3 linked regions of the Drosophila melanogaster genome follow. The protein of the gene in region 1 interacts with the protein of each later gene in a pairwise test. Each region holds a gene or a part of one and is shown on either strand. Other genes may lie near its edges.

Region 1 (9,962 bases):
TTTCCTAGATAAAATGATAGAACAAAGTAATTACCACTTTTGAACAATATCGTATAAGTCTGTTGTTAGAACTCCGAAATCTATAAGTCTATTAGCAAAACTGAACTAATACAACAATGGATTATTCAGCCATAGTGCTGCCCAGCAATAATCCGTTCTAAAGCCACTCGGGTTCGAATTTCAATTTGCCAAAATCCGCTAAGCGCGTCCGAAAGGCAAAAATTCCCCACACACTCGTGCAAAACACACTTCCTCCCAATGGAGAGGAAGTGGGTTGTTGGCCGTAGTTTGCGGACTGTGGAATGGGAACTTGGCCTGAGTGATTGCCAAGCGACTGCGGATTGCAGTTGAGCGACGGCAAAATCAATGCCGCAAATCCCAAAACTATTTTACCCAAAATGGCACCACCCCATCTACATACATCACACAACCCATACCGGGCCAAAGAAACCACTAGAATGGAAATGAGCAAATGCAGATCCATGCATCAGGACATCGTCGGCGGCCGCCACTGACGGAGGAGCAGCCACCTCAACGCATACGCAACCTGCCATGTTATTGGCACTTAACCAGAACCGAATGCAAGGAGCCAGCCAAGCAGACGCCTTTCAGGGATGCCACCCGGTGGCTGTGGATTGAGCCGGATCCGAATGGATGGGTCCCTGGGTCGGTATGACTGCCCGGCTCACTCCTGGCCAACTTGAACACACTGCGACCTACATTATGCAACCACAACAGTTTCCGCCATTGAGGATTCGATTGTACGTGACACTCGAAGTAAACATCGTCGCCTTCCTTGATATCATCCGGTGTCAAAGTTGAGCCCAAGCGTAACGTCACCAAGGGAGGATCTGCAAAGAGGAGCAAAGAAGGAAGACAATTAGCCACTGGAAATCCAATAATAACCTGAAATGGTAATCTAGAACTTAACTGCGAACGCGTGAATACACTTTCTATACTTTTTAGGTATAGACAAAAACTTTTTATCACACACTTTTTTTAAATAAATGACATGTTGTAGCAATCGTCCTTGAAACATTTTGTGAGCACTTCTATTTATTTCCTGCATAGGTCATGAGCCTTAGAAAATCCGAAATAAAATGTAAAAGGCCTATTAACTCAATGTCTTACAACCAAAATCTTTTCGATTATTCATGCCCCGAAGTTGTTGTGCCATACTTTTTCGAGCTTTGCAACTGTCTTGTCATCGCCCAGAATCCCGCACACTGTCATGATCAAGCTTATTTAATAGTTTTTGCAAATATGAGCGATTTAGAGCAATAACTGGAACAAAGTGAAGCATCAGCCAAGAGTTATGAGGACATGGCAACGACATCCCGCCCATCGACCGCTGTTTGCCAACATGTGTTGCCGCTTAAGTCGTTTGAATTTGCTTAACGAGCCACAAACTTTGCGACAAACAGAGACCAAAAGCGGCAAGAACCCGGACCCAGACAAGGAGACCTAGTACCAGAACTGGAACTGGGACCGGGACCAAGACCAAGACCACGAAGAGGACCTGGACCTGGGAAAGAAATAGGAGCAGGATCGGGAAAAAGGGGACGCACGTGCCAACCTTAATATTGTTGAGTTATTGGCGGCCAAAACCAAACGTCGACAGTCAAGAGTTGGGCAAAACGGAACCCAAGACCAGACCCAAAACCAAACACCAAGCCAAAGCCAAAAAGTTCCCTTCCGCCTTCGCCTGGAAACTTTAGAATGGCCTGGAAAACTTTTGCCCAGCAAGGGTGGCATTTCACCGCCGCCCACTTGTGTAGGCCCCTCGTTTCTCAGAGTCTGCCAATCAGGCAAAGTGCCCAAAGGGCTGTGAAAACTCTTTCGCTGGAAAAGTCGCGTCGCGCATTTCCGCACACATGTTGCAGGCCATTTTTGTGATTATCATTTACCGTTCCACCACGGATACCCTTGCCCCGCAATCTCCCGACAAACTCGTTTCTTTGGCCCAAAACGACCATCGATCGATGGCGGAGCGGAAGTTGCTCAGAATTTATGTGCCACCGTGGGCTGTTGTATTATGCCAACTGACACACGGGATTTGCCAGGGCTGCAAATATTAAAGATATTTTGGCAACGTAAGACATGAAACTTTTTCTACCATATTTAAATTGGTTGCAGCAATTCAATCAATTGAGCACTCATAAATTATAAGCACATTCTTTTGGGCCAATCCAATTATGCACATATTTTTTTGAATAATACTTGTATTAAAATTTGAAAATAAATACTAAGCAACTCTTTTATAACCTAAAAAAAATAAATTTGTTGCCAGCATTTATCGAGCTGGCATTGAGCTGCCCTCTTAATCAACTTAATAGGCTGTGCGAAATTAGGAAACACTATAGTCGCACGAAATAGCAAAATTTTACTCAGTCGATGAGATTGCTTTCGCCAGTACAAGTCGGCAGTTTTAATTATAAATCACAAAAAATTACAAACTAAAAAAAAAAAACAAGTTATCCAAATCTGTGATTGTGAATCCTGCAAAATGCCGTGTAAGAGAAGGACAACTAGTGCCCGACCAACAGCCAGAGCTCGAGAGATCGAAGAGGAGCAAGAGGTCCACGCCAAAATAAGGTCATATTCACGTTCCAGGGCGACAACATTGAAGGCATCAAGCGAGGCCATCAATCGCGACGTTTCACATCCAACCAGCAATAAGAAATGTGAAACCAATCTGAATTCCAAAAATGTTTCGCAAAAAGGACAAAAGTCACAGCTAATGACAGAAAGCGCTGGGAAATTTGATTCGGAGACAAAGAGAAAACGGCAGGCGACAGTCAGTGGTTCCAAGTCCCAACTTTTGGACGAGTTAGCGAGTGATTCAGATAATTATGTCAAGCAACTTCGAACGTTTTTGCGAAGTACGTCAAATACGGACGATGAACAAAAGAGGGATTCACCTGCACGGCAAAGCCGTTCTAGATCAAGACGCAGATGTACACAAAAAAATGAAAATCTCGATGAACCGGATCAAAATACAATTTTTAAAAAACCGGAAGTTTCTTCCAAAATAAATTTGGAAAAACATAACCAGAGGACTTCAACGGATAAAGAAAAGCAATATAAAGGTCAGAAACTAAATTCCTCCATTGAATCGATTTTGAATGTTTATGATGAGTTACCATCACATTCGGACAATCAAGCTTTAAACTTAAGCCAAAAACGTAATAATGCCTGGACTACGAAGTTGCCTGAGAGCAGTCCAAAAAATATACCGAAGAAGAATTTCGATTCAAAGTCTAGCGATTTAGAAGAGGCCGAAGAGAAAACATATTTAAAACGTCAGTCTGAGAGGAATTTTTATTCAGGTTACCGTTCGGAGTCTGAAGGGACAAATATCACGCCGGCTAAACGTTCTAAAGCTCAAATCAACTCAATACCTAAACTAGAGTACAGTACTACGTACGGCCAGGCTCAGAATTTAGTCGTGTCGGAAAACGCTAACATAACACAAAAGCCGAGTTCAGATATAAAATCGCGTTATCGTTCGACTGAGTATAATCAGATTAACAAGCCAGATTCTCAACAGCCCATCAACTATGCCCATCAGAAGGAAGAAACAATAGATAGGCGTCGTGAAATGCACATGAGAAAGGAACATCAATATGTAGATAATCACCTGAACAACCCGGCACAAAATAAGCCCGATCGTACTGTAAGTTTTTTAGAAATGCTCTCTCAGGCCGAAGCTAAAAAAGAAAGTAATCAAGGTGCTAAAAAGCCAACGGTTAATAAAGTTTCTAACGTTTCTCAATATCTAATCGATCTTGGCTTTACTGCCGGTAGCCCTAACCACGATAGCAATAGCAATGATGGTAACGATGAGCAAGACAATATTGATAGGCGCCTGAATGCTGATCTAGATTCTTTATTTACGACTGATGAGCTGGCATGTCCACCTCCACCTCCACTAGCAAAGATTCCAACAAATCTGACAGTTGAAAGACCACATTCTCGGCTATCGGATCCCAAGAAAATAGAATCTGATATAGATGCACGCCTCCAGGCGGAACTGGATTCTCTACCCATGGTAGCGGTACCAGCTGACGAGAATATAGAACCATTAGGTAAAACTGACCAACACTTTTCAGTACCTACAAACAAGAACTTGTCGGAGAACAAAGCTTTTCCGAAACCGAATCAGGTATGCATTCCTCCACAACCAGCTATTCCTCCACAACCAGCCATTCCTCCAGCACCAGCCTATTGTATGGCCAACAAAACCATGGATACAGGAATGTCTAGCGTTGTTCAGATGGCTAATAATCCGCTTGCTTCAACTCAGCATCACGCCTTGCCACAAGTGCCGATAGTCACGCGACTTAAGGTTGATCAGGGTGAGGATGTATCCGTCAAATTTACCACCGGTCTGGATGGACTAATTACCAATGTGCAATTGCTGCCATCAACGATGGCAATGGGTCAGCCAACAGTGAAGGCCACCGAATTAGAAAGCTTTACGGCCCAGCAACTGAATATGTTATTACAAAGTGGACATCCCTACCTGTCCTTGCCCATGACTAACTCTGGAGTTCCAGGTGCCGTGCTACAGGAAACGTTACAGACCAAAGATGCAGGATTTCCATCTGAACAAGCGGTCGAAGATGAGGAGGTTGACTATGAGGAAATAGGGGTGGCCGACACCTTTGCAGCTTACTGGCCCAGCAAACTGAAGTTTGGAAGAGCCCATCCCGATCCCGTGGTGGAAACGGCCACTCTGTCATCCGTTGAGCTGCCCAATATAAACTATCAGTTGGCCCTGCCCTCGAAGACCACCGAATGTTTGAGTGCCCTGCAGCTGGAGGCAGTGGTCTATGCCTGTCAGGCTCACGAGCAGATCCTGCCAAGCGGAGATCGCGCTGGATTTCTGCTGGGCGATGGGGCTGGTGTGGGCAAAGGCCGCACCATTGCCGGCATTATTTTCGATAACTACCTGAAAGGGCGGAAACGTGCCCTTTGGGTCTCGGTCTCCAGTGACCTCAAGTTCGATGCAGAGCGGGATCTAGCCGATATAGGAGCCCACGAAAAGATCCGTGTAGCGACAATCAACAAGTTTAAATACAGCCCCATTGATTCCGAAGAAAATGAAAATTTCAAGCGCGGCGTGATATTTTGCACTTACACAGCTTTAATTGGAGAATCAATGACGACCAACTCGAAGTACAAGACTCGTTTTCGCCAGTTGACCAATTGGCTGGGCAAAAAGTTCGAAGGAGTGATCGTCTTTGATGAGTGCCACAAGGCCAAGAACCTAAGCCTGATGAATGTGGGTAAGTCCACCAAGACGGGAACGACTGTTCTGGATCTACAGAAACTGTTGCCAAACGCCAGAGTGGTCTATGCTTCAGCCACGGGAGCAAGTGAGCCCCGGAATATGGCCTATATGGTGAGATTGGGCCTGTGGGGTCCAGGTACCGCCTATCCAGAATTCTACGAATTTGTTAACGCCGTGGAGAAGCGCGGCATAGGAGCCATGGAAATCGTTGCCATGGACATGAAGCTAAGAGGTACTTACATAGCACGTCAACTTAGCTTCAAGGATGTGAGTTTTCGCATCGAGGAGGTGAACATGTCGAAGGAATTTCGCAAGAGCTATAATTTGTCTGCCGAACTCTGGGCTGACATACACAAGAAGTTCCAGAAGGCGTGTCGCCTAATGTGCGTCGAGAATAGGGTGCAGAAGATTATAACCTGTCAGTTCTGGTGCGCCCATCAGCGTTTCTTCAAGAACCTGTGCATTGCCTCCAAAGTGAATCACGTGGTCAAGATGACGCGGCAGGCGACACGAATGGGAAAGGCGGTGGTCATTGGCCTTCAATCTACTGGGGAGTCGCGTACCCTGGAGCATCTAGAACGTCATCATGGAAAGCTTAACAGCTTTGTGTCCACCGCAAAGATGATCATTCAGTCGTTTGTGGAAAAGCACTTCCCAGCTCCTAAACGCGACTCGTTTCATCATTTACTAAATACGGGTGAGTTTGAGCCGGAGGCACGTTCCCGCCCACCCAAACAGAAGAAGTCAAAAATGAATACCGATTGGGTTGAAGATGATATGGATGCCGAGGCGGGCGAAAGCGACATCGAGATGTACGAGAGAAGCTGTACTGCGGCTGTTGAGAAGATTAAGTCTGGACAAAAGCGGCGAGGACGACCGCCCAAGGCGGACAAAGGTATGTTGATCTAAGTGGTTTATTTTGAATAAATATTAATCATTTTAATCCCTTAACCAGTGGAGAAGATTACCATGCAGGAGCGCATCCTGGAGCATCTTTGCAATAATATGAGGGAACAGGATAACGAAGATGAATCCACAAACACTTCCGACAATACCAAGGTAAAGGTAAACATCACGGAGCGTGATGTAGAACGCTGTATAAACATGCGTGAGATGCTGCTGGAGAAAATCGATGTTCTGGGCAGGAAGTTGCCGCCCAACACGCTCGACAAACTAATCTCTGAACTGGGTGGCACCAATTTGGTGGCCGAGATGACAGGCCGTCGTGGAAGAGTGGTGCGAACGGAGTACGATGGGTATAAGTATGAGCCACGTTGTGAAAACGACTCCACTATGGACCTGGTCAATTATCGGGAGAAGCAACGCTTCATGGATGGCAGCAAGCACGTGGCCATCATCTCGGAGGCGGCCTCCAGTGGAATATCTTTACAGAGTGACAAGAGGGTTTCTAATCAGCGGCGCCGTCTGCACATCACTTTGGAACTCCCATGGAGTGCAGATCGGGCCATACAGCAATTTGGGCGCACCCATCGCTCCAATCAGGTCAATGCACCGGAATATGTATTTGTGATCACCGATCTGGCTGGTGAGCGTCGATTTGCATCCACGGTGGCCAAGAGACTGGAGAGCTTAGGAGCCCTTACCCAAGGCGATCGTCGTGCCACCGATGCCCGTGATCTCTCCCAGTTCAATATCGATAATAGCATCGGGCGCAGTGCCCTTGAGAATGTGATGCAACAGCTGACCAGCAATAAACCACTGGACCGGTCTCAAGTGCCTCAATCGTATAAGGGAAACTTCATATACGATTGTTGCGTGGCAATGGCCGGCGTGGGTATGATCAATGTGCGGGAGGAGAACAAGGTCAAGGTGTTCACCGTGGAGAAGGATAGTAATAATATCTCAAAGTTTCTAAACCGCATCCTTGGATGCCGGGTGGAAGTGCAAAATGCACTTTTTAAATTCTTTCTGGACAAGATGTACTCACTGATCATGCAAATGAAGCGCACAGGACGCTTCGATTTGGGGATTTTAGATCTGGATGCCCATGGAGCAAGTGTAAAATCCATCAAGCTGATGAGGTTCATTAGGAAGCACGCCACAGGAACGGCGGCCACCGAACTTCATACGGTGACAGTGGAACGTGGTATGTCCTTTGAGACAGCCCTAGCCAAGTGAGTTGAAATTTATATGGGTTAAGTGTATTTAACTAACTTATAAACTCCCATAGATACCGAAAGGAGGGCCAATACGAGCACGAAGGCTTCTATATTCTACAAAAGCGGCGCCAAAACAAGAACTCCGCAATTTTATGCCTGCAGGCACCGTCCAATTCATCGGATGTATCAAACGGAAAGATCAATTTGCAAATCTACCGACCCAATACAGGTCCCCAAGTGCGATTGGAGACACATGCCTCCATTTCATCACGATATGTGAAGGTAAGCCCGGAGGAGGCCCAAACATACTGGGTGCAGCAGTACGAATTGTGCTTGAATATGTGCTCACACCTCTACTGGAATCGGACCTGTCCAATGCCGACGGGCTGTGAAGTAGGACTCCGAATGCGTACCTATCACGTGCTCTCCGGGTTAATGCTACCGATTTGGGACCGGATCGAACTCATTATCGTAAATAGCGGACACAAGATCCAGATCATACGCATGAAGACCGATGCAAACAAGAAGATAGTGGGTACGGTGGTACCGCCTGCCGTCTACGATGACCTGGTGGCCGATTTGTCCACGGATTCCCTCGTGGAGAGCCATTAAAATGACACCGCCCAGTGTACGGCGAAGCGCACAGCACTTCTATTGCCACTTTAAAAATATCAACCGAAATTGTAGCATTCAATGCAATACATGTGGCGTAAGCTTTCGCTTTTTCAAAATGCCAAGCACGCTCCACCAGCTCCACCCAGGAGGAGCAGCACGCCCATGTTCCCGGCAATAAACAATGGCCACAGAAGCACATACGGGAAGACACTTACAGCTCGTCTGCGTGCGTATGTGATTCATATGTATTGTCTGCTGCGCTGCGGAGTGAGCTTCGCATACACTAAAAAAAAAATAAAGCTACCCAAAAAAAAATCGTCTTGTTTTTTAATATATTGTATTATGTAAATTGCAAAGGTAATTGGAAGGGGTTGTCAATCACAGCCAGTAGAATGGCTTAAATTTAATTTAAATTAATAATTATGAATGAAATGAAACTTGTTACTTTATTTAACCGCAGTGCTCTTTCTTTTCCAATCCTGCGCTCTTTGGGGGATGTCTGTGATTGCATTCCATGTTTTGTCTTGTTGCCATTGCTAGGAGACCAACTAAGGCTGCCCCGCTCGGTTACATTATAAATTTTAAAACGACCCAGTCGCTTGCACCCTGCCACACATGCGAGATATAAACAAAATTATACAAAGGGGAGGGAAGGATTGTGGCGCATGAGATGGGCAACGCGTGGCATAAACCATGACCAAATGGCCTTGGCAAATGTCGTGCCTAAGGAGCCAAAACGCAGTTGGCATAATAACTCACGCGTGATGCAGATATCGTATTCCAACAGCACTGGCAACAACAACAAAGACATAAAGATGCCGAGGCATATAAATTCAGTTGTTATCTAAATAAGAACAAACTGTTATTTATCTGGCCATAAGGGTATGTAAGGATCTCTAATGAAGTTATAGCCAACAATATTTGCAAATTTCAGTTTTCCTAATCCTTTTTTTTTAAGTAAACCCATGTTATTGGTCTTGAATGATTGTAAGCTCTAATCTGATCATAATTTGATTTCTTTTCTGTAGGACATCAAAGTCTTAAATAAATAAGCAAGTTTAAAAGAACTTCGCAAGCCTGCCCCAACAGAAGAATTTTTTTAAAAACACAAACATTTGGGCGCACATTTATGTGTATGTGGCTACGTGCCGATCATAAAGTTTATTTGCGCCAACGTAGCAACAAACACAACACCGTAAGGACGGTACAAAGCACCGTCAATTGCTATAACGTGAGCAAAAACAAACAAATAAAAAATAATATTCTAAAACATAAAATATGAGCCTGCAAAGTATGTGTGGGGCATAAAAAATATAATCATATTACGCCTATACACACAGCCAAACGCAAAAACACACAAACGTACTTTTTTCTTTTGGGCGTAAGCGAAACTGTTCAGCGGAGGCGTGGCAACCTCTTTCAGATTGAAGTAAAGAAAATATTCATATTTTAAGAAATGAAAAGCAAAGAAACGCTATTACGTGATGCCCTTGGAAACAGGAAAAATAAAATGGGGAACAGAACGGAGTACGAAAAATGTTGACTGTGGCATACATGGCGGATACGGAACGCCATTGAGTTCGATTCATTTTCCCTATCCGGCACTTTTGTTTCACACTTTACGATGTCCGCAGTACTTCCCAGTTGGTTATTTCAGTGCTGTGGAATACGAATTAAAGTGGCTTAAAGTGGAAATTACAATTATTGGGAGATTTTGTTCATTCTGCAGGTAAAATCTGTGCGTGGCGAAAGCATTTCGGATTCAGTTTCAGATCTACACTTTAGGTCTACTTTGCAAAGTTATTTTTTATTTATTTTTATTGAAACGGGGCCACAGCTAAAGTCCTTCATTTAATTTAAGCGACTGCCATACATTTTGTTAGCCCACATATTTCATTTGTGCCTGTGGAGCCCCTCCTGGCCACCACGAA
Region 2 (5,992 bases), 190 kb from region 1:
GGACCTTTAGCCTGATCTTTCTTCTTGTTAATTTGTTTTGCTTATTTTGGAGCTGATTAGCTATATACCGATTAAAAGCTTTTCAATTGCCACTAAAAAAAAAGTATAAGAAACGGCGAAGACTTTTTAGCGCTGCATTTAAATTCACAAGCTTAACAGTATTCTTTTAGGCTGAATTTGCTCTCAAAAAAAGTACAATTGGTTTGGAAAATTTTAAATGTTTTTGAATGTAACCAAACACAGCGAAAAAAAATACAAATAATATTTCTTTAAAAAAAAGGATGTAAAGAAATAAACTAGTCTTATTAGTTTAATAAATACAATTTTTTAAGACACATAATTTCTATGTTTTTATAGACGGTACTTGTGGAGTAATTGAGTATACCAAATTCTTTAAAAAGTCTGTGGGAGTTCGAAGAAGGCGTTGCCGAACCTTTACCTATACAGAATATATATATTCTTCACCAGCATCACCAGCGGAGTCTATCTAGCCGTATTCGTTTGGCCATCTGTCTGTAAGCCTGTCTGTATGAACTGAATGAGATTCAGACCTCTAAATAGTTCCAATTCTTTCAGAACCTGTGCCAACAACACTCTAGATTCTTCATTGATTTCATCTAGTCTTGTCTTGTAAATATCTTAGTTCTTCTATTAGCTAAGAAATGGGTATCTGATAATCGAGGAATGCGACTATAGTGGTCTAACCTGTTAAGCGCTAAAATTCAAAGACATAACATAATTATACGTATGTATAAAAAATTAATCCATGATTACAAGGATTTCATACTTAATTATCCCTCCTCATTTCGAAAGTCTAATGATAACCCAGAAAAGCAAACAAGAACATTTGTTGCCGTAACACGTTTGTGATGCGTGAAAACGGAACATAAATGATCTAAAGTAATCTCAAACAACGTCTTCTTCTAAGTCGCCCTTAGTTTTTCTTAGCAACTGTTGCGGACTTATTAGATTAGGCTCGACTTCCCAGATAAGATTGATGTTGAAGGGTTCCCCCCGTTGAGCATAGGCATTGATACAGTGCTCAAATATTAATTTCCCAGACGTCTGGAAATTTTTTTCGTATTTTTGTTGGGTTAATTGTACTTGATTTTGTCAGAACATTGATAATACTTCGGCGCGTGACGACATGATGAGATTGCAGGAGAGTATAAAAGATCGGAGGCGTCCAAAAATTTTATTCACATTAGCAAGACTAACCGAAGTATCAGCACCATGAAGTTTTTGGTACGTTTTACATATACGCTTCAAAGAAAAACCTTTAAGAACTAAGTTGATTTTAATATTGTTACAGATCCTCTTCATTGCCCTATTCGCCGCGGCCGCTGCCCTACCTCAGTTTGGATTCGGCGGTGGATTCGGTGATCAGCAGCAGCAGCAGCAAGGAGGATTTGGAGGTGGATTTGGTGATCAGCAGCAGCAGCAAGGAGGATTTGGCGGTGGATTCGGAGGTGGATTCGGTGATCAGCAGCAGCAGCAGCAAGGAGGATTTGGAGGTGGATTCGGAGGTGGATTCGGTGATCAGCAGCAGCAACAGCAACAAGGCTGGTAAAAACCAATTCATAGCACCGTCTTAACGCAGATACCTCAATAAAAATATGACACCTTTATGATAAAAAAACAATTGGAATTTTTTACTTTATCGTTCTCGAAAATTTATGAGTTTTATGAAAATAAATTTATATTTATTATTCATTTATATTTATTAAATAGTGCCCAGAAATAAATACACTTAACATAAGGGACAACGGGAAATATCTTCTCTTTCAGATGTTCAAATGGTTTTACTTAAAACATTGTAAATATAAATAAAAGCCAAAATATAAAAGCCATATTATAAATATAAGCCAAATTTTCACAAAAATTTTGTTTTTCTTTGAAATATGTAACGCAACTAAAAAGCGGATTCAACATGATTGAAAAAACAGATACAATTTCGAGTATCCTAATCAATGGCCTCCTCAGCAGCCACCCTTTTGTGCTCCTCGATCTGCACCTTGTCCAGATCGACTCCATCTTTTTTGGCTGCCCGTATCTCGCCTTCCCCCTCCGATCCGTCTAGCTGGTTGGTCTGCCAAACTCCTGTCCACGGCAGTGACATCACTGACATGACCTTGACCAGACTGCTATGGTTTTCCTGGTCTAGATCACTCTCCCCATTTCCTTCCCGTATTCGTCTGTCTCCATCCGGCAACTGCAACTCCTCGCAGCACAGCATGGAAATCAGCAAGTGCTCAACGAAGAGGGTTCGCCGCAGCCTTTGAGATTCGTCCGTATCGTGGCACTGCACTTTTTGCTGTGCAATCCACTGAAGTAGAACATATCTGTCGTCGTCGTGTTCGAATGGCCCCCCGGAACTCAAGCCTAACGCCAGGGACTCTGAATTGGCTGCCTCCTCTGGAGGATCATTGTTGCTTAGGAGCTGGGGATCGGAGCTCACACGTCCAGTTGACAGCCATACGGATATATCGAATATCCTTGAATTCGGAGTTGTTTGCAACTGCGATTGGCGGTGGTGGCGCATGTGATTACGGGTAAATATTCGGCGTAGTGGCGGTGTGTCGGGCTCTAGGTAATTGGCGTGATCGATGTGGTTGTGCAGGAGATGTTTGGAAAGGTGGCGTATGGCCACCAGTTCGGCGGCCGACAGTCCGGCGCACATGGGGCAGACCACATATTCATTGGACACCCGATGTTGAACGTAAACATGTTCGATGAACCGCTTCGCTGTGAGCGCAAGTAGGCCGCAATGTGGACAGGTGAAGCAATTGGACAGGTGGACCAGCTCTGGGATTTCGCCGTAAAGCAGCGGAACCAGATCGTCCGAGTCAGGGAACAATTGCATGGGATGATTGGCGCGATGCTCTTCCGTTTCTATCTGATGATCGTAGCATATGTCACATAGGTTATAGTTCACGCAGCGCAAACACCGGAAGCGGCTACCCTGGAAGATCGTCATTTGACAGCCGTTGCAGCAAATGTTGCGGTGACCCATCCTCGATCCTTGTGCTAACTTCGTTCTTAGCGAATATACCTAAACTCTGGTCGAAAAAACGGGCAAAAGGGTTCTAAATTTTAACAAATCGAATCTATACAATGACATGATTTTCATAGATGTAAAATATTTCGGGGCGTTTGGTAATAACATATAATTCTACTTTTAAAACTATTTTTCAACCTAAATGTATCAAACTTACTCAAGCTTTCTACATATTTCCTTTGCCTCTTTTAAACAAATGTTTATTTTTGGAACCTTAAGTACAGCGAAAAAAAAGTTAAATAAACATGCACTGTACTATTTTGTCCGGTGAGCACAGCTATCTACGTGACAAATAACGATAATGCAATTTGTTTTCCAAACCTATATGAAACGAGAAATAAGCCCCCATTATTGATAAGGAACTAAATCTTTTATCTAAATCTTTTGACAGTAGAAGATAACTCAAAGGATATTTTATATTTGCTCAAATCAGAATGCAGTTATCGAAAATTAAACTTCCCTTGAGCTGAAAATTTAGCTTGAATTTATAATTATACATATGTCCAAATGTAATACAGCTTCAGTGTGTGTACACATAAAATTCAAAACCCAAAAAATCCACAAAAATTGCTATTTTAGTAGGTATTGCGTTGAACACATCGGTTCTAAATGTGGCTGTTGTGCCATTAGTTACTCTTCTGTCTCTGTCTCGGTTTGAATCTCCATCTCGCTCTCTTCTTTTTAATTTTCCCGACTTGGTGCGCGGCAGTTGTAATAGAAGTTTTCCGGCTTCATGCACCTCCGCCCTTGCACCACCCCCTTTCGGCGACCATTGTGGTGGATTCAGTACACTCTTAAAAATAAGATGTTTAATAAATAATGGATAACATATAAAATAATTATTTCATGGTTCAGTCCTTTGAAACACTGCGGAACCTTATAAATGAAAATGACGTGCATACATTGGACTGGAAAACTAGGAAACTATTCTGAACTTATATTTTAAAATAATTTTCAAATTCATTATTAGGTTTAAATAAGATGTCAGCTTCAGAACTTTGAAATTATTGGAACATTTTTGGGAGTGCATAGCAGAGCTCCTGTTTTTGCGCTGGTGTTGGTAATTATATTATAGAGTGTGGCGGACGGAACGCAATCTCTTCGCCAGAATGAGTGTGTGTGTGTGTGCGTGGGCAACTTATGTTTACCAAGTGCGAAAGTGGAAACGTGCTGCAAACATGGAGTCCTGCCGCCACTGCCTCCCTTTCTCCCACTTTCCCAGTGTTTTACGCTTTATAATAGGATTTGAATACAATGGCATTGTAATGAAATGTGCAGCAAACGATGGTCTGCAGACGGTCGGTCTGTCGGTCTGTAGCAAGTCGAGCTCTGCGGTTGCCTTTGGACTGGGGCAACTTCTGCGATTGCGATACGGTTCTGCAGCGGTTCTCCGCCGGCTGTCCCTTGGCAAGAACAAGCCAAACAGCTGTTCCTCCTCCGTCTGTTAGTCTGTCTGTCTGCCTGGCCGTGTAATTTGAGTTGGTAATTAAAAGTAAAGCAAAAGGCAAACTGCTGCAACGGCCGCACATCAAGGCACCTCTTCACACGTATGCTCCGTACGCTTTCTAATGCCAAAGCAGTCTTCCAAGTGCTCCACATTGGTTTTTATTCGAGACTGCTGCTTTAAAAGGTGTCCTGTTTAAATCGGTCCTAGGGAATATATCTGATTCTGCACAATATCCTGGTGGCTGACGGATCTAAGCAGTAAAAACATACAAGACATGTTTAAAAAACGAAGAATAAATTGGTCATGCCCAAAAGTAAAGCTACAAAGGCGGTGCTTTTTTAAGTTCCAAACTCTCGAGCAGCGTCAAAAGGCTTGAAAGCCCTATTTAGTTGAGGACGAAATATGTACTTCTACGAAAATTTAAAGAAGAGAACGAGAAAACCCCATCAATCATTGCCTGTCGACCTTTGTTGATTAGTTTATCAATTAAACGTAATTGAAATTTTATTTTCATTAGCCTTGCAAAGGGTGTCGTTAAGCCCGCTTCAATTGTGCTAATTAATGGCAAGCCTGTCTGAGAAGCTTCACCGAAATCTCGCAGCCATAAGCGATTTGGAAAATCAGAAGCCTTGATGAAAATTAGAAGGCATTGCTCATTAGAATTGGTAGGTGGAAAACGGAAAATGGATACTTCTAATTGCCCTACGCTTTTCCTTTTGTCGGAAGCTGTCAATGAAAATTCGTTCCTTGGCCTCTTTTATTTATGTTAATTCATTTGCCTTGCTTTGTTCGATTTCAGATTTTTTTTTTTTTTTGCTCCCCCCAGCGTGACGATATGCTCAATTGCTTTTGTAATCAATCAAAGTCAAAAGCGCAAAATGTTACTTACATACACGTATTGGGGGAGGCGTTAAAGGAGCATGTCCTGATGGGTTCGGGGGCCCGGATGGGTTGCAAAGTGCAGCCAGGATGCTCGGGGCGGAAACTGGATTGTCATGTGTGCTCGCGGGTCTCCCGATGCTAGATACTCAATGCTGGATGCTCGATGCTCTTTGCTCGTATTTTGTGTTGGTGTTTGACGTGACACTTGAGCGACACTTGAAGCCCGATAATTGATATTGTGCAGCCTGGAGTTGGGTGTACGGATGGGGAAACGGATGGGACTACGGATGCGGCTCCGGATGTGCGGGGCGTGGCCAAGTGCCGGTGTGCGACAGTTTCGGATTCTTGTAATTGTCGCTGACACATTTCGTGGTTTAGTTGTGGGTGAATGTCCGTCAATCACAAGTTAAGTCCTAAGTTAAGTTCATTTATAAGAAAAGGCTGTATATATAATTCTATGAATTTTATCTAAATAGGAATAAGTTAAAAAAGACGTCTTTAAATAATATTGGAGACCTAGGACCTAAGTTTGTTTAAATTTGGGAACTCTGAAGACTTAAATCTGGTCAATGTGCTAACTGCCGCACACTTAGTGTCAACTTCAG
Region 3 (6,982 bases), on another chromosome or scaffold:
TACTGGCGCCCACTCCTCCCAAAGTAACTCCTTGTCCGGTACTGGTGATCACATGACCAGTCCCTGATGCCGCGCCTTGTATGTACTGGGTCCCCGGCGGCATTCCTGCCAGTTGGACCATTGCACCTGCCGGTAGTGGACCTGTTAGATCCTTAAGAGCTCCACCCGCTTGTCCGGCGTTCAGATTTGTGCGCCTCGGCTTCTGGACCTCACGTTTGCGGCGCTTCCTTTGGTCGCCTGCCTTGCTCTCCATGGTGGGCACGGGGATGGGCACTGCACCCTGTCCAGTAACTGGAAGGGGAATCGTCGCATTCTGTGGTTGGTTCTGGTGCAGTTGCTGCTGCTGCTGCTGTGGATGAACTGCCATATGGAGCTGATGCTGTACTTGCAAATGCATTTGAGCGGGTATCTGTCCAGCGGCATGTCCGGAGATTTGTCCGGACATCTGCCCAGACAGGTGTCCTTGCATAGTCGCCTGCATTTGCGCCTGCATCTGCACCTGGCCCTGGCTCTGGTTCTGGATGGGTTGTGCCTCGTTCGGGACACCGGATTTCTTTACATAAGTGGCAATCGCTGAGATCAGCTGTACTTTGTCGGGAGTACCTTGTCCAGTCGGAGTTGTTGGTAGGGAGGTGCTTATGGGAATCTCTGCCTGTTGCTGGATCTGCTTTTCGTCCAGTTGTGGGTGCATGGGGAGCTTGCGTTTTTGAGGCTCTCCAGGCTTGAACGGTATCTTTGTGGTGGCTACACCTCCTTCTAAATGGTTATTGGTCCATTGCGCAGACACAAGGGGACCTCCGGAGTGAGGTGCAACTCCCGCTGCAGTAGCTCCCTGTTCCGAATGAAGCGGCGGCTCCGCTTGCTCTGGCAGCGATTCGTCGCCCTGCTCCATGGGTAGTGACATAGCTACCGCCTTGGGCTTCATCTGCAGTTCCTTCGGAGCCGCTTGTTTGGTGGATATGGATATGGTGACGTTCGATATAGGAGCAGTGGCCATTTCGTAAGGCGGAGGAGGTAGTAGTTCAGCCGGCTTCGAAGTGGCTTCCGTCACTAGTGTTTTAGCAGCAACGGGTCCTGAGATGAACGACGTCTCCTTCGACACAATCTGCACAGTCTGCTTGACTTGGTGGGGTGACGGTTGCAGCTGCTGCGGCTGGTGTAGTTGCTGCTGCTGCTGCTGCTGTGGTGGCGGTGGTGGTGGAGGCGCCTGGTTTTGGCTCTGATTCTGCATAATTGCTGCTGGCTGATCGGATTTCTGCTCCAGCTTTGCCTCCCCTCCCACTCCTGGTGTGGTAATTGCGACCGCACTAACAGGTAGAGCCGTCGCTGAGGCGGTGGCTACCTGTTGGCTGCTTCCTCCGCTAGCTACTGTTGTGGTGGTGGTGGACGTGGCCACAGATCCACTGCTACTACTACTACCTGCCGCCTGCGTGGCAGTGGGCACCGGAGGAATCACCGGACGTGCCAGTTGATCCTCCAAACTTCTGACCTTCCCCATGCTGGGCGCCCGTACGTTGATAACCTTGCGGGCGGAAAGAGGTGCCGAAGCTGAGGCGGAACCAACGTGAGCCGAAGTGATGCTTATCTGGTTGAGGCTATGACTGCTGCTGTTGTTTTGGAGCAGTTGCTTTAGAAGTGCATTATCCTCCGCTGCCGAGCGTTGGTTGTTCATAGGTGTGGCGTTCACTGTAGGATTGGGTGTGCTGGGATTCGAGGCAGTTGAGGTAGATGTGGCCATTTGAATTTGATTGGCGGACTGATTTTGAACCTGGTTAATAGCCGTCATTGTGGCATTGGCGTTCAAACGCTTCTCCGGCGTGCCGATCTCCTCAGCCCGCTCCTCACTGGTCGGAGTACCAGTGCTATCCTTCACAACCGCCTCCTGTTTGACCAGTAGCTTTGCTTTAGATTCGCTGCCAACTTCTTCCAGCTTGACTACGTCCGGAGCCAGACTAACGCTGAGTTTGGTGGGCGTATTGGCGGTCGTTAGTTTCAGCTGCATTGAAGCTCCCGAGGTAGCTGATCCGGAGTTTGCAGAAGATCCCGCCTTGTCTGCACTAGAATCCTGAATCAAAGCATGATGCATCTGCAGCGCCGCCTGACTGGACAACGTGGTTGTAGTTATCATCTTCGGTTTTTGCTGGGCCATGGTCGTCTTGGACAGCACCAGGGATATGTTCTTGTTCTGAATGGAGATTATTGGCCGCGTGCCCATCATCGGACTGTTTATGCAGATGGTCCCCGCCGAAACGGAAACGGTGGAGGTGGTGGCCAGATCTGAGGCATTCCCCGAAGCCATGGTAAACGTCACGGGTGTGCCTGCTCCACTGCCTACCGCGGAGATTGATTGGCTTTGAGCAGCCTGTGAGTGCTGCTGCTGCTTAAAGATGTTAAAGCTGGGTGGACAATTGAGTGTATTCTTGTCGAGCGGCTTAATCACCACGCTGTTGATGTTGGTGAACTCCTCCGGGCCTCCAGTCGATTCCTGGGACTTGCTCTTGTTGAGAATTTTTTGAAGGTTCTCCGAGTAGGCTGTAATCTTTCGAGGCGCTGGCGCATCGTCTTCCGAATGGGCCGCAGGTCCCACAGTTGCGGAATCCTGAACCATTGCGTACGTTTGGCTGGGGTTGGTGGTGGTGATAGTCACTATGCTGCCTGTGGGCGGAGCCAGGCCTCCACCACTGGTCACCTGCAGCTGCTGAAGCTGCTGCTGCTGTTGGATCTGTTGTTGGTGCTGCTGAAGTTGCAGCATCTTTTTGCTCACCACCTTGGTGGCCACAATTTTGGTGTTCGCCGGCTTGATCTGTAGCCCCGAAAACGAGACAATGGTGCCGCTATTTTTTGGCCCGCGTTTGATAAGTTTGGTAAAGTTGTGATGTGCATGAGAATGGACGTGCGGGTGGACCTGCTGACCACCGCTTTGCTGCGCAGCACTCATTACGGTAGTCACCTGACCGCCCGGCTGCAGCAGTTGCTTGCTCTCTACAATCGTGGCTCCTCCGGCTGTGGCCGCTCCACTAGCGCTCATCAGCGGCTTGAGCAGCGGCACCGATATAGTCTTGTTGCCAATCGACACTTTCGCCGTGGTCTGCGTTACTTCCGACAGCTTCTTGGCGTTAACCATCAGCTGGGTTTTCATCTTGGGGTGAAGATTCACCCGGTTTAACAATGTTGTAGTGGGCGTTTGGCTACCAGTGGCCGTGGTATTGAAGATGTTGTAGTTCGTGTGACCGGATTTCTGTGTGAGGATTGTAGTGGTGCCGGCTCCACTGACTCCTGCCGTTCCGTTGTTAGCGTTTAAAATAATGGTGGAGGTAGTAGCTCCAATAGGCGTTCCTGCTGGTGTTCCCGTTCCGGTGGAGTTACCCACAGATGTAGAGCTATCCGCGCCGCTGGCTGGCATCAGTACGTAGTCGAGGTCCTCAGATTTGCCGGAGTTTTCAGCATGATCCTGCCCCGAGCCACTGGGCTCGATGGAAATGACGGACGCGGTTGACGATGATGACGAGGCCGACGATGAGGCACCCTCCTTTTTGGTAAAGCTGGTAAAGGCTGTGTTTCGGTGTAGCAAAGGGTTAGATTGACTGTTCCTTGGAGTGCTGATTCTGTACTCACTCTGCTTGTCAGCGTCCTCCGCCTTGATGGCACCCATCTCAGTGCCGGAGCCGAAGTTGCACACTATGATCTGCTGATCGCGGGCGTCCCAGACGCCGTCCGCCGTCTCGACATCCTGCGGCTCCGACGCAGCTTTTACCTGCGCCTTAGCCTGCTGTCCACTCCGCTGGTAGAGGAGCTGCTGCGGCGCGGTGCTCGACGCTTTGGCGGGCAAACTGGGCGCTGCCGTTCCAGTTCCGAGAAGCAGCTCCGTCTTGGCCTTCTTGCGCGTGGGATCCTCCGCCGGAGTGGCGGTGTCGTCGCCGCTGCGCTTCTGCAGGCTGACCGCATTGAAGGCAGCGGCGGCCACGGATGCTACTCTTTCGGGTTTCGCCTTTTCGGCGGCACCAAGCGATGTTGTCACCTTCGGTATATTCATAACAAACACACAAGTGGAAACGCGGAACGCCGGATGCGATGCGCTGCGTTTCGTGGGACGGGAAGGGCGGCGGTCTAGCTAGCTAGGGCTCGCGCGGCCTGCTTTTTTTTTTACCGAGCGAAAACATGCACGATTAGTCAAAAAAATTTTATTTTCGTGTATGCAGAGCAGTGTTACCAGATGGTAAAACGACCATTACCCTGAAACGTTCTTACCCATCCCTGGTTTTCCACTCAGAAACCCACCACTTTTCCCATCCCATTTCAACATATCGCCATGGCGGTTGCAATCGAATAACGTTTGTACAGCAATCATTTTTCGTTAACTTCAGAAGTTTTTAATACATAACATAATTATTGTGTTCCACGTGCAATATGGCACATTTTCAACTGCAAGAATAAACCATAGTCTGGACAGGGCCGTCAGCTCACTCGACCAATCGGTGGTCTATCGATATATGTTTTTAGCACCACATTTATTAGCTCGATCTGGCAACGGTGGCCGTTGATGCAACACATCTTTGCACAATACAATTTTATAAATAAGTAATATATTTTGACATAAACTCACCATGCTCTCATTAAAGTTAGTCTCCCAGCTCTTTAAGCAAAGCCTTGCGTGTAAGTTGCAGTGGCGCTTCCTGCCTAGCCACATCCAATCCGATAACAGTTTGCAACAAACCACTTAAACTTTTCTTTGCAGCGGGCAACATGGCAATTGTCAACACAGCCGGTCTTAAGTATTTCGCTCCGCCTATTAAATACCAGAGTAAGTAGTTGCATTTAAATGTGCACAATGAATTTAGAGCAATAAATGAATGAATGTGGGAACCCCCAGATGTGGAGCAGCCGGAGAGACCCAAGCTGAGGGTCATTGAGCGCCAGCCCCAGCTGCCGCCAAACATCCGTCCGCCAAAGATGCAGAAGCGCCTGCGATACATGCGCGGTCCGGAGATGGTGCACAACACGCTGCTCCATAAGCAGTACGCAATCGTGGCCACTGGCGGAGGGCGCCTGCGCTGGGGCCACTACGAAATGATGCGTTTGACCATCGGACGCAAGATGAACGTCAACACTATGTTCGCCACATGGCGCGTTCCCGCACCCTGGCAGCCGATCACTAAGAAGGGCCAGGGCCAACGGATGGGCGGCGGAAAGGGAGCCATCGACCACTACGTGACCCCCATCAAGGCCGGTCGCGTCATTGTCGAGATAGCCGGCAAGTGCGAGTTCGTTGAGGTCAAGCAGTTCCTGCAGCAGGTGGCCAACCAGCTGCCCTTCCAGGCCACCGTCGTTTCCCAGGAGATGCTCGACGAACAGCGCGTCGCCGAGGAGGAACAGACCCGCCAGAATGAGAACCCCTTTACCATGAAGTACGTGATCCAGAACAACCTCAGCGGCTGCCACCGTTGGCTCTCGCCCGTGGACCACAAGTGGTTCGGCAAGCACCTGTAGATGTATAGCTTCAATTAATAAAGCCATCCTTCGTTAATCTGTTACGAAACTGTTTCAAGTACTTTTGAAAACTGGAAATATCTTAAAGTAGGTTCGAACTTCGAACTTAGGGCTCGTTGTTCCAAGCCGTGACTCTGCGGCACCCAATTGTGGAGCAAATAAGAAAAACGCCATATGAAGGGAAATGTACGAGTTCTATTGCAAACATTTGTTTAATTTTCCATTTCGTTTACGTGGGTAATATGTAATGCATCATATAATATGTTTTTCTTGCCGTTTCGTTCGCATTATAATAAATGTATAATATTATGCATGTATGCGTGTGTGTATGCTTTGTCGCGGGGTATGGTGTGTGAGCAAATAGCCTTCTCCCACGGACTTCAGTTCTGGAAGCAGAACTTTGACCTGCCGCAGCTCCTCGTATTTGTCAAGTAAAATCCACACCTTCGTTGATCTAGTCAAGTTTCGGTGATCGCGATTCCGGGATCCGGGATGGAATCAAAGCCGGTGGAAGAGGGCTATTGTGCAGGGATGGGAATTCGTGTGTTTTATGTTATGGGGTCGAATGGATACTCGACCCTTACCCTTAGCTCGGCTTGTCTAACAATCGGTATCGTACCAGGCAGCCAGGTTGTTGTTGTCATTGGGTGGCGTCGGCATGGCGTCCAAGTCAAAGTTCAATGCACCGGCATCAATCTCGCCAACGTCCATGTCCATGGAATAGGGCGAAGTTGGTGCGCCGCTAGGCGGAATGGCGCCGATGTTACCACCGCCGCCGCTAGCTCCGCCTACAGCTCCACCATTGCCGGGAGCACCGCCAGCACCGCCGCCGCCCACTGGGCTGCTGATCTCCAGACCCTGCATCGAATCTATTGGTAGAGTATCATATCCTGTGAACAAACGAGATGGGCAAAGAATGATAGGGAATATTGTGATTAGTGGAGAGGATTTACAATCTCCGCCAGCCGTCAACTGGCAGATGGTGCGACACCTTGAAGTCCTGCAAAAGTGGATTCACTGCTGCTCGCTTTAATCGGGAACTCATCTAAAATGCATCTTTCCAACACACTTATTGGATTTATGCCGATTCAAACGAAATGCAGACTCCACTCGTACACGACGACCCTTTAACATTAACCTAGAGTATCAAACAACAAAAATCTGTCGTTGAATACTGCTTAAAAAGAACTAAATACGTCTAAAATACGACACGACATGGACGCGTTATTGTCGATTGGAATTCGTCCTCTGAAACTTGCATGCACACACGGCTTACAAACTAGATACGAGTATATACACCATAAAATATATGGATTGTGGGTGGCTAAAACTATGCGATTATCGCAGGCTACGTGACATGCAGTATGAACCGAAATAAAGTTTATTACTGCTCCTTCATGGAGGGAGACCTTAAAGATAAAAGCCGTCTAATGAAAGGAAACAAAATAGATTTATACAAAACAATAAATTTGCGAAATTATCAAAGAAACGTATG

The links.
Region 2: the proteins of CG3491 (region 1) and CG31835 interact in a two-hybrid assay, tested with the Drosophila melanogaster proteins (one large-scale study listed by BioGRID).
Region 3: the proteins of CG3491 (region 1) and trr interact in a two-hybrid assay, tested with the Drosophila melanogaster proteins (one large-scale study listed by BioGRID).

The regions. Positions count from the first base shown.
Region 1 is NT_033779.5:14,922,229-14,932,190, forward strand, and holds CG3491 (uncharacterized protein), read left to right. Parts: upstream 1-2,361; 5' UTR 2,362-2,506; coding exon 2,507-6,191; intron 6,192-6,251; coding exon 6,252-7,431; intron 7,432-7,487; coding exon 7,488-8,028; 3' UTR 8,029-8,337; downstream 8,338-9,962. Other genes in the region: side-II (sidestep II), read right to left, coding at 721-851.
Region 2 is NT_033779.5:14,732,972-14,738,963, reverse strand, and holds CG31835 (uncharacterized protein), read right to left. Parts: upstream 3,122-5,992; 5' UTR 3,014-3,121; coding exon 1,964-3,013; 3' UTR 1,897-1,963; downstream 1-1,896. Other genes in the region: CG31775 (uncharacterized protein), read left to right, coding at 1,234-1,245, 1,313-1,570.
Region 3 is NC_004354.4:1,885,743-1,892,724, forward strand, and holds the start of trr (trithorax-related), read right to left. Parts: upstream 4,209-6,982; 5' UTR 4,034-4,208; coding exon 1-4,033. Other genes in the region: mRpL16 (mitochondrial ribosomal protein L16), read left to right, coding at 4,605-4,653, 4,736-4,801, 4,871-5,487; arm (armadillo), read right to left, coding at 6,088-6,377. UniProt on the Drosophila melanogaster protein: Histone methyltransferase that acts as a coactivator for the ecdysone receptor during development. Specifically trimethylates 'Lys-4' of histone H3, a specific tag for epigenetic transcriptional activation.